2 linked regions of the Danio rerio genome follow. The protein of the gene in region 1 purifies or fractionates together with the protein of each later gene. This does not show direct contact. Links are inferred from orthologs where the notes say so. Each region holds a gene or a part of one and is shown on either strand. Other genes may lie near its edges.

Region 1 (5,560 bases):
ATTCCACGATAGTGGAAAAGCAGCTATCGGTTTACAATAAAGAGTTAAAAGGCAAAGAATAAAGACTTCAGATGACAATAAAGGAGTGTGTTGGACAAACTGTGACACTTCAATAGTATTTTAATGTGGTTAGTAAACTAGTATTTTCAACTAGAGGTTTAAGTCAAAGAATAAAGATTTCGCATGACAATTCATTATTTTCATTCAAGTAACCCAAGGTTAAATATGAACCAAACCAACTGTTGGGTTTAAAAGTGTCATTTAAATTTAGATAACATGTACATATATGACCAATCATTGGTTTACAACAAAACATGTTTAGAATAAAAGCTTGTGGTTTAATAAAAGCGAGATAAATGTGATTGCCTTTGCTTCGCTTTAGCTAGAAGATTGATATTGCTGAAATGATAGGAAAACTTCCTCCACTCTTTAAGCAATGGCGTATGGAACTCCAACACCACCTGACCTTAGAAAAATACGATATACTGTAGGAGGCTGTACTGATGTTTCTTCTCATCTGGCAACCTGTTTTAGATCACATAAAGGAGATGGACCCCTCAGTCATTTTAGAGGAGTAGAACCTGTTCTTGTATTTTTTTTTTCTGTTTTCTTTTTTTTCTTTTCTTCCCTTATATGCAGTTAAATTCAGAATTATTCGCCCCCTTTGATTTTTTTTTTTTTAATATTTCCCAAATGGTGTTGAAAGATTCAGGAAATGTTCACAGCGTGTCTGATAATATTTGTTCTTCTGAAGAAAGTCTTATTTGTTTTATTTCGGCTAGAATAAAAGCAGTTTTTTATTTTTTAAACGGCATTTTAAGGTCAAATATTATTCGCCCCATTAAGCTGTATTTTTTCGATAGTCTCCAGAACAAACCATAGTTATACAATAACTTGCCTGATTACTGTATAGAAGTGTCTTGAAGAATATCTAGTCTAATAATATTAACTGTATTCATGGCAAAGAGAAAATAAATCAGTGATTAGAGATGAGTTATTAACACTGTTATGATTATAAATGTGCTGAAGAAATCTGATATTCAGTAAACAGAAATTGGGAAAAAAGATAAACGGAGGGGAGCGAATAATTCTGACTTCAACTGTATATGAGAGTAAAATATGTTTTACTTAATATTATTATTTATTTGTATTTTATCTTAAAATGTTTTATTTATTTTTATAGAACCTAAATGTAAATGTGTGTGACGGGTTTTGTTTGTTGAAATAAAATACTTTTGAATAAAAAAGAATAATAATGTGTGGTTTAAGGCAAAGAATAATGACTTCAGATGACAATTAATGATTATATTGATGAAACTGAGACACTTAAATAGTATTTAATTGTGTTCATGTTTGCAATACATGTTGTAAAAGCCAATGTTTGGTCAAATATGAACTAAACTAACCACTGAGTTCATTCATTCATTTCCTTCGGCTCAGGCCCTTTATTCATCAGGGGTCACCAGAGCGGAATGAACCGCCAACAATTCCAGCATATGTTTTACACAGCAGAAGCCCTTCCAGCCGCAACCCAGTACTGGAAAACACCCATACACACTCATACAGTACAGCCAATTTAGTTCATCAATTACCCTATAGCACGTGTGTTTGGACTGTGGAGGAAACCCACGTCAATATGGGGGGAACATGCAAACTCCACACAGAAACACCGACTGACCCAACCAAGACTCCAACCAGCGACCTTCTTGCTGTGAGGCCACAGTGCTAACCACTGAGCTACTGTGTCTCCTCACCATTGGGTTAAAAAGTGTCATTTAAATTTAACTGAAAAAGTTAATCCAATGATTACAACAACCCAGCATTTTATAGAGTTAAAAGAGATGAATAATACTGTCAAACATGTAAAGACTAATGGTTTAAGTCAAAGAATGAAGATTTCACATGACAATAAATGAGTATTTTGAAGAAACTGAGACACTTAAACAGTATTTTTATTCCACTTTAATATAAGTGTTGCAAGTAACCCAATGTTTGGTCAAATATGGACAAAAACTAACCGTTCAGTTTAAAAATGTCATTTAAATTAAACTAACGGTTACAACAACCCAGCATTTTATACAGCGCAAATAGGATGAATAACTGTAAAAACTAGTGGTTTAAGTCAAAGAATGAATCTTTACATGACAATTAATGAGTATTTTGATGAAGACTGGGACACTTAAATAGCATTTTCATTCTATTTTAATGAGTGTTGTAAGTAACCCAATGTTTGGTCGAATACAGACAAAATCAACCGTTGGGTTTAAAAGTGTCATTTAAATTTTTTTTTTTTTTTTTTTTACAGTGTAAATAAGATGAATACTGTCAAATGTGTACAGAATAGTGGTTTAAGTCAAAGAATAATTATTTCACTTCACAATTAATAAGTATTTAGATGAATCGGAGATAAATAGTATTTTCCTTCTGGTTTTCATATGGACAAAATCAACCGTTGGGTTTAAAAGTGTCATTTAAATTTAACAGAATTTTTGAATCCAACGGTTGGATTAACGACAAAAACCGACCATTTTATACAGTGTAAATAAGGTGTCAAATCTGTGCAAGTCAAAGAATAAGGATTTCACATGACAGTTAATAAGCATTTAGAAAACACCTAGACACGTAACGTTAAATAGAATGTAACGTGTTCTTTAAAATATGACGATAAATATAAACTCTAACTGACATTAGTCTGAAGGAAAACCCGGAAAAAATATAGATTTTTTTACTCAGGTAATATATAATAAATACTATGAAACACATTTAACGCGGTGTTAATGTGAAACACATTTAATGCGCGAAATTAGCTGATTTTATATTGGCGCATTCGGGCAGTGATAACTTGTGGCATGCTGTCTATTGTTTACCATCGTCTCTTACTATTCGGTCTGAAAGTACAGGTAAGACTCGAAGCAGACTGTGAACACTATATGATCGGCTGCTAATATGATTATCAATTTGCAAAAAAATATTTTAGTGAAATTAGATTATTTTAAGGAGAAAGTCCGAATGTGTGAATGTAAAGTAACTTTACCTCAGTGTTGTGTATGTGGTGTTTATTGCTCACCGCTGTGCCGGACCGGTCCATGGCCTTCTTGACCCGGCCATAAGTGCCCTTTCCGAGGGTCTCCAGGAACTCGTAGCGGTGTTTGAGGTTGTGTTTGTGGTGGTGTCTCTTCACCGCCTGCCGTTTTACGGGCGCCTCCGGGGCACCGACACTCTCCATGAGCCGCTGCCGTCGCGAACACACCGGCGCGCAGCAGCATCTGAGACACTAGTACAGTGGGGGCGTGGTGCTGACCGTAAGTGCCCGCCCCTCCCCTTATTGTGTATCTACAGGTGGGCGTGTCTCTTATTTTTTGTCTCTGACTTTATTGAAGTGAAGCGCGTTTATAATAATTAACAAAGATCACAAATATCGTCTAGTTTATCTGATAAGGCGCTTGTGTTGACTTTAAAGTGTGCGGCTGTAAAACTTTCCCATTTCTTTATTCAGTTTGACTAATTAAAGTGAAAGTGCAGTAGTAGGTGTGTATCAAAGGGAAATTCCCGAAGAAGCTTGTTTACTTGGTAGTTTTGCCAAAAAGGCCACGGCTTTTCTTAAACCCAATATTTCATTTATCATTAATTATGAAAATACTAATTAATTAATTATTAGAAAATCACATTATTGTATTACGAAAAAAATTAATTTTTATTATTATTTTTTATTTTATAAAGGTCTGATGGCATTTATTACCTATTGCATTCGGACCTTTTTTCCACTTTTATATATATATATATATATATATATATATATATATATATATATATATATATATTCTTATTTATTCATTTATTATTATTAAAAAATTCTGGGTTATTTATTTATTATTATTTTTTTGCTTAAGATGAAGAAATGTACTTATACATTGTATAATATAATGCAAATGTAATCATATAAACAGTTTTCGTTTAACAGTGTAACAAGGTACTGTAGAAGAGTTTGCGTCACTAGAGGGCGCCAGGACACTGTAAACGCAACAGATGTGCCCTAGATGTGCCACACTACACTTCAAGTATGTACTGCAAATGTTGTTTACGCTGTTTTATCTCTTAGCCTTACAGAAAATCATTATATTGTGATCAATTGACATTTGTTTTTAGCTGTACACAACCTACACATGAAGATTCGCAGGCTAAACATTGCTGTTTATGTGCCATTGCAAATTACATATTTGTGTGTGTGTGTCTGTGTGTGTGAGGAGCGGTTTGCAGTTTATAAACACCCTTTCGTCATCACTGTGTACACATGAGTGTGATTTAATGGAAATGCTGCACGTGTGTGACGTGTTCAGTTTATGAGAGCTACTTGACAATCAAAACAACAATGGCGCCTGAGTGAAACTGATCCTTAAAAAAGGGGGAAAAATCTGTCAGTTTATTTTAATTGATAAAAACGTTTACAAGAACAGAGAGGTGAAAGTTCTTACAAAAGATGAATGTTAAAAAATAGAGATAAAATGAAAAAAAAAAAAAACGACAACTACGCTTTGATTACTACGCGTGGGTTTGTGACGCCAAGAGGACTACATTTCCCAGCGTGCACCGCTCGCAGCCTCGCCCCGCCCAGCGACCGTCCCTCTCTCCAAATGCACGGGCAGCGGCGGCGGCTGGCAGCGCTAAACTCCCGTATTTGTGCTGAAAAAGTGCACCGTTCCGAGCCGAAGCAGCGCAGAGCCCGCGATTACCGATGATCTGCGGCCGCCGGCAGGGAACGAGGTGCCGAACAGCCGCCGAGCAGAAACCGCGACCCGGTTCGGCCTCCGGGTGTGTGCTGAGGAGCCGAACCGCGGCCGTCGAGCGTCAGTTAACGGTAGCGCGCGCGCTCCTGTGTGTTTGAGAGTGTGTGAGTGTGTGTTGAGGCGCTGACACACACACACCACACACTCTCTCTCCGGCCCCGGTGGTGTCGGTTCGGGCCTCGGCTCGTTCGGGATCTCTGTGCTCGGGCATGTGACGCAGACTGCGGTTCCGGTTCCGGTCCAGGATCAGGATGGAGAACCCGCAGAAGCCCCGGGAGCTGACCCGAGCCTTCAACCACTACAACAAACACAGCGGCTTCCTGAAGAAGAACCTGAAGGAGACCATCCTGTTCTTCAGGGAGATCCGACAGAACCACAGCAACACCTGCGCTGCTGCAGAACCAGGTGTGTGTGTGTGTGTGTGTGTGTGTGTGTGTGTGTGTGTGTGTGTGTGTGTGTGTCTGTCTGTCTGTCTGTCTGTCTGTCTGTGTGTGTGTGTCAGTATTTGTGTCTGTGTGTCTGTGTGTGTGTGTGTGTGTGTGTCTGTCTGTTAAAGAGAGAGAGGGATAGTGTGTGTGAGAGACAGTATGTCTATTTGTGTGTAAGAGAGTGTCTGTGTGTGTGAGAAACAGACTGAGAGCGACACTGTTTTTCTGCAGACTGTGTGTGTGTGTGTGTGTGTGTGTGTGTGTGTGTGTGTGTGTGTGTGTGTGTGTGTGTGAGAGAGAGAGAGAGAGACTGTTTATGTGTGTGAGAGAGACTGTTTATGTGTGTGA
Region 2 (5,008 bases), on another chromosome or scaffold:
TTTCGATCAGATTCTGGGCAGGAAACAGACACGTGATATTTTTATGAGTACACCAAAACACTAACAATACACTTAAAGCACAAGTGGAAATCCCCATTTTATTTAAGACTGTGACAGAAATCCTGGGCAAGCTGAAGGAAGAAAAATAAATGTCAAAAAATGAATTGAAAGCCTAATGCCAGTATTCTTTGTATACTGTTATGGTTTGTGGGTTTCAGTGTAACTAATATAAACTGGCTGCATATCAAACCAAATACACTATTGTGCAATTTCTGTATTTATTTTTAAGAAATGTATATTTCTTTCAGCAAGAATTTACTGGATTGATTAAAAGTGACAACGATTTCAATTTCAACCATCAAATAAAACGGTTTTCAACACTAAAATCAGCAAATAATTTTTTTTATTTCAATACAATACAAAGGCTTGTGTGCTTTTTAAGTCCTGGGCGAAAAATTTTTTTTAAAAAAATTATAATTAAAAGTATGATGGTTTAAAAAAGGTAACTAAAATATGTATCAAAACAAAATATCAAAACCATCTTCACTATATACATGCACGCACGCACACACACACAGGAAAAAAAATATTCACTTGTCATTTTTGAGATTTGCTTAAAAAAATATAAGTCTAATGGAACAAAAGCATTTTTTAAATTTAGATTGCAATTATAATAAATATTTGTAAAAGCTAGTACTCAAAAATGAGTTATTTCTTCTGCATTGAGCAATAAATCTCCACATCAGCAGAGGAGTTTGATTTCAGTTTTATTCTTATATTCTAATGGGTTTTGTAGAGGAATATTTTCTTAAATAATCAACCAAACAAAACACAAATTGTTACTCTACTTCCAGTGTTTTCTGAATTATGGAGTGATAAACAGATACCCAAAATGCTCACTTTTTTCACTCTAATATGCCAAAAACAAGAATTTTGACTTTGCATAGAAATTATTGCCAAAGAGACATCAAAATGCACATACATTTTAGAAAATACTTATGCGCAAAACTGAGTAGAACTTTTTATCTTAGAAGAAAAAATGTGGAAAAGAAACACATTTACAAAATAAATTCCAGCATGTACATAAAGTCATGTGATTTTTTCATTTGTAAATTGCTTTGGATAAAAGGGTCTGATTAATAAATACATGTAAAGGAGATGATTATTTCTACCCTATTCAGCTGCATTGACTTGCCATAAATGTTCAACTTAACTGGCCAGTTCATATTTGTTAATATTTGTTGATATTTGTGTACCTCTGTCGGTGTCGCGTGTAGATCGGCTGTATGTTGAAGTGAGCCCCGTCAGGCTGTTGGGTCGGTTCAGAGACGAGGTGCTGTACAGAGAAGACGAGCTACTGGATGAGGATGAAGGGATGGTGGAGGACGCTGTGGTGCTGGAGGCCAACGAGGTGCGATACTTCTGAAGGACAAAAAGCAAAATGAGAAACTTGGATTATTTTACTTGTTAAACTGTAAAAAAAAAATGATTTTTAAAAAAAAAACTATGTACAATGAAGTGTCCTTATTCTCCCCACAGTTCATCCATCATTAATTAAAAGGCAACTTAATAAAAAAAAATTTTTAGCAAACCTTAAATAATGACTATAATTAAAAAAAAAAAAAAACATTTTCAGAGCAATATTGCTAACACATTCTGAATATTATTTTACTGTATAGGAAATACATAGAGAAAATTAATCCAAAGGAACAAAATACGGTTGAAATATGGTTGTGATACTTAAGTTAAGTTGAAATACCAAGAGTAGCGTTATTGATGTATATGGATTCAAATGCAGATCTGGATGTCTCTGCATTTTATATGATTAGTTTCAGTTCTTTTGAATGGAAACTTAAAAAGAGTAAGCAATAATTTGAAACAAAGTAGCCGCTAGTAGTAACACAGAAGTGTAACTGGGAGTTTCTCTAACCTCTTCAAAGCTACGATAGCGCGACCTGTAGTCATCCTCCTTGGTCTCGGTCTCTTTCTTCTCCTCCTGTTTCTCCTTGTCCTGTTTCTCCTTCTCTTCTTTTTCATCTTCTCGAGGCCGTGTGGGGCGACTGCGACCGATGGTCTTCTCGGCCTCCTGGAGGTCTGTCAATGTCACACCCTAAAAAAATGACAAGTTTAAAGGGTTAGTGTTATGTTGTTCATTTCTGCTAAAATAAGACAAGATATGTAGACCCATGATCAGTGTAATTGTAAAAAAAAAAAAAAAAAAAGTGTAATGTTCTAACATTTTGCTAATACTACATGAAACAAATACACAATTTTATTAAAGATTTGGACAGTGTATGGTAAAAAAAGGTTTTAAATACATATCACACATATTTTAAAATTGTAATAACATTAGAATATACTAATATTTTAAATTAAACTTTTTTTATTAAAAAAAATTCATATTTATTGCTTTTAATTCAATTTTATTAAAAATGCAACATTTTTTATTATTATTATTACAATTATACACAAAAGCACAAAGAGATTAGCATTTCAGCTCTACAAATGCATCAAACTTAGCTTTTCAAATAATGTTTAGACAAATAAAATTTGGGTTTTAATATTAATTAAATAAAATTGCATAATAAAAAGCTGATTTTGCACTGATGTTGTAAATTTCAATCTGTATTATTAATGATAATCATAATAATAATAATATGAATATAATTAGACTTATTGAATTAAAACTAAAAGTACAATAAAGATGGAAGATGATTCACATTTTAAACATTTAACTACCTACATTATCTAAAAATAGGTCTTACCACATGATAACGTAACACACAAGTAAATCATGTATAATGTAATGTTTATAGTGGTTTTTTAGAGCTGGTAATTATTACATTTAGTTAGTGATTTTTCTTTAAAGCTTCTGGTCAATCTCTCCTCTATTATAAACACTAATTTGTCCAATAGTTTCCCACCACATTTCAAAACCCTGGTTTATAATAAACTAAAAAGCTGAAGCTAAACCCAATAAAATCTTCCAATGGTTTGTAAACTGTTCTGCACTTGTGTCTATTATTAGATGAGTGTCTAGACTTGCCTGTGTAGATCTCCTGGACTGTCGTGCCTGTCTGGATCTGGCTTTCCTCTGAGACTCAGATTCTTCATCTCGTACTGGAGTGAGGTACGATCTACACACACAAACACACACACACACAGCCCTGCAGGTTAAACACAGCTGAAGCAACACATGCTTATGTTCAAGCAGTTTTCATAAAAAAAGGCTTTGGAAGAATGTGTAGGAAAGTTTCCACTTTATTAGAAACTACAAAACAATGTGTTGTTTAATGATCAGCAAATCTTGGTACAAATCATAAAAGTACTTTGCAAGCTTTCTGTTGACTATCGTAATTTTCCTAAAATGATGTTCAGATTGCACACTTATTGCCTAGGTTGTGTTATGGAATGTCGTGTTGTTTATTGTCATTTTAATTAAGAACCAAATAAATAAGTACAACAAATATTCACTTTGTAACAGAAATGTAAAAAATATGTTAAAAACTATTTGAGAAAAAAGCATTTAAATATATATTGTGATTATAAATTAACAGACATAAATTGAATAAATGAATGAAACATCTAAACATGTATTTTGGATGTTTTCTTTCTAGTAGTTTTAAAAACACTAAATGATGAACAAATAATCAAAACAAAAAGCAAACCAAAACAAAGCACTACTAAACAACCAAAAGAAAAAAAATATATAATAAAAATAAAAAAGTAAATATAAAATATATATAAAAACAAAGAATAGACAAAACAAACTAACAAATACCAATAAAAGCTAACTAAAAATAAAATTAAAATAAACAAAGCACTAATAAACAACCAAAAACAAAAATGAAACAAAAAAACAAATAATAAAGTACACAAAATATGTACCAAAAAACTCCAGACAACAAACAAAACAAAAAAACTATACCAAAAAACTAAATAAAAATAATAAAGCATGAATTAAAATAAAAAAAAACAAAGCACTAATAAACAACCAAAAACAAAAAGGAATCAAACAGACAGACAAATAAACAAATAAAAAATAAAAAATAACATGTATAGCAAAAAACACCACTAAATACACAAAATAAATCCCAAAGAAACTAACTAAAAATAACAAAACATAAATTAAAGTTAAAGCAACCAAACAAACCAAAAAAATGTAAAATAAATATAAAATATTTACCAAATAAAGCACCACAAAAAGCTAGTCAAAAACCCCCCCAAAACAAATTAAAATTAAAACAAACAAACAAACAAAGACAAAACACACAACATACACCTAAAAATATATATAAAAACAAACAAACAAACAAACAATAAATATTAGGTCAAATAAAGTGATTTCTAGTTAATCAGAGCATCCCTAAAGGCTGGTTTAAACATCTGCACTAATCGATTGCATTTATACTTCTGCGGGCAGGCTGTGTTGTTCTGCAATAACACCTCTGAAATGCTAGCTGGAGTGGGAACCAGCGGACGAGCAACAACATTTATTATAAGGTAAACACAAAACAAAAGTTTCCATCTGAAGCTCCTTCACAGGACTCGACACTTGTAAACACTCACTTCTCCAAGCTCGCAGCACTCTGCACCACCCACAATTGTCACCGCTACCAAGCAGATCAATCATAGAGCTTGCGGTATGCATTGCTGTGACGTGTAGTTACATTTTATGAGAGGTTCACGTGAGCATAAGCGTTAGCCTTGGCAAGGGCTATGCGACTGCACAAAATCTGCCGCAGAGCATACATGTGCGATTGATGCAAAAGTCTAAATCAGCCTTAACTGAAAGCATCAGAATCATCCGTGATAATGTGTGGTGTACCTGCGTCTCTCTCGCCCGTCAGAGCCCAGGACAGTTCCAGTGGTGGATGTGGTAGTGGTGGTGCCTGCAGTGTTGATTGTAGGGATAACGGTTGCCGACTCTTTCTCCTTCTCTTTCTCCTTCTCTGCGCTCTCCTCTGCCCAATACCTGTTACACATCCACACATTTCATTACCACACC

What was found.
Region 2: the proteins of nuak2 (region 1) and ppp1r12a purify together in Homo sapiens (affinity purification with mass spectrometry; 3 studies listed by BioGRID and IntAct, counting the BioPlex papers as one, with this or other methods). This does not show direct contact. The link is inferred for Danio rerio from reciprocal best matches to the Homo sapiens genes NUAK2 and PPP1R12A.

Annotation. Positions count from the first base shown.
Region 1 is NC_133197.1:522,665-528,224, reverse strand, and holds the start of nuak2 (NUAK family SNF1-like kinase 2), read right to left. Parts: upstream 3,252-5,560; 5' UTR 3,227-3,251; coding exon 3,068-3,226; intron 1-3,067. UniProt on the Homo sapiens protein: Stress-activated kinase involved in tolerance to glucose starvation. Induces cell-cell detachment by increasing F-actin conversion to G-actin. Expression is induced by CD95 or TNF-alpha, via NF-kappa-B.
Region 2 is NC_133179.1:22,105,129-22,110,136, forward strand, and holds part of ppp1r12a (protein phosphatase 1 regulatory subunit 12A), read right to left. Parts: intron 4,976-5,008; coding exon 4,829-4,975; intron 3,138-4,828; coding exon 3,047-3,137; intron 2,111-3,046; coding exon 1,931-2,110; intron 1,423-1,930; coding exon 1,257-1,422; intron 14-1,256; coding exon 1-13. UniProt on the Homo sapiens protein: Key regulator of protein phosphatase 1C (PPP1C). Mediates binding to myosin. As part of the PPP1C complex, involved in dephosphorylation of PLK1. Capable of inhibiting HIF1AN-dependent suppression of HIF1A activity.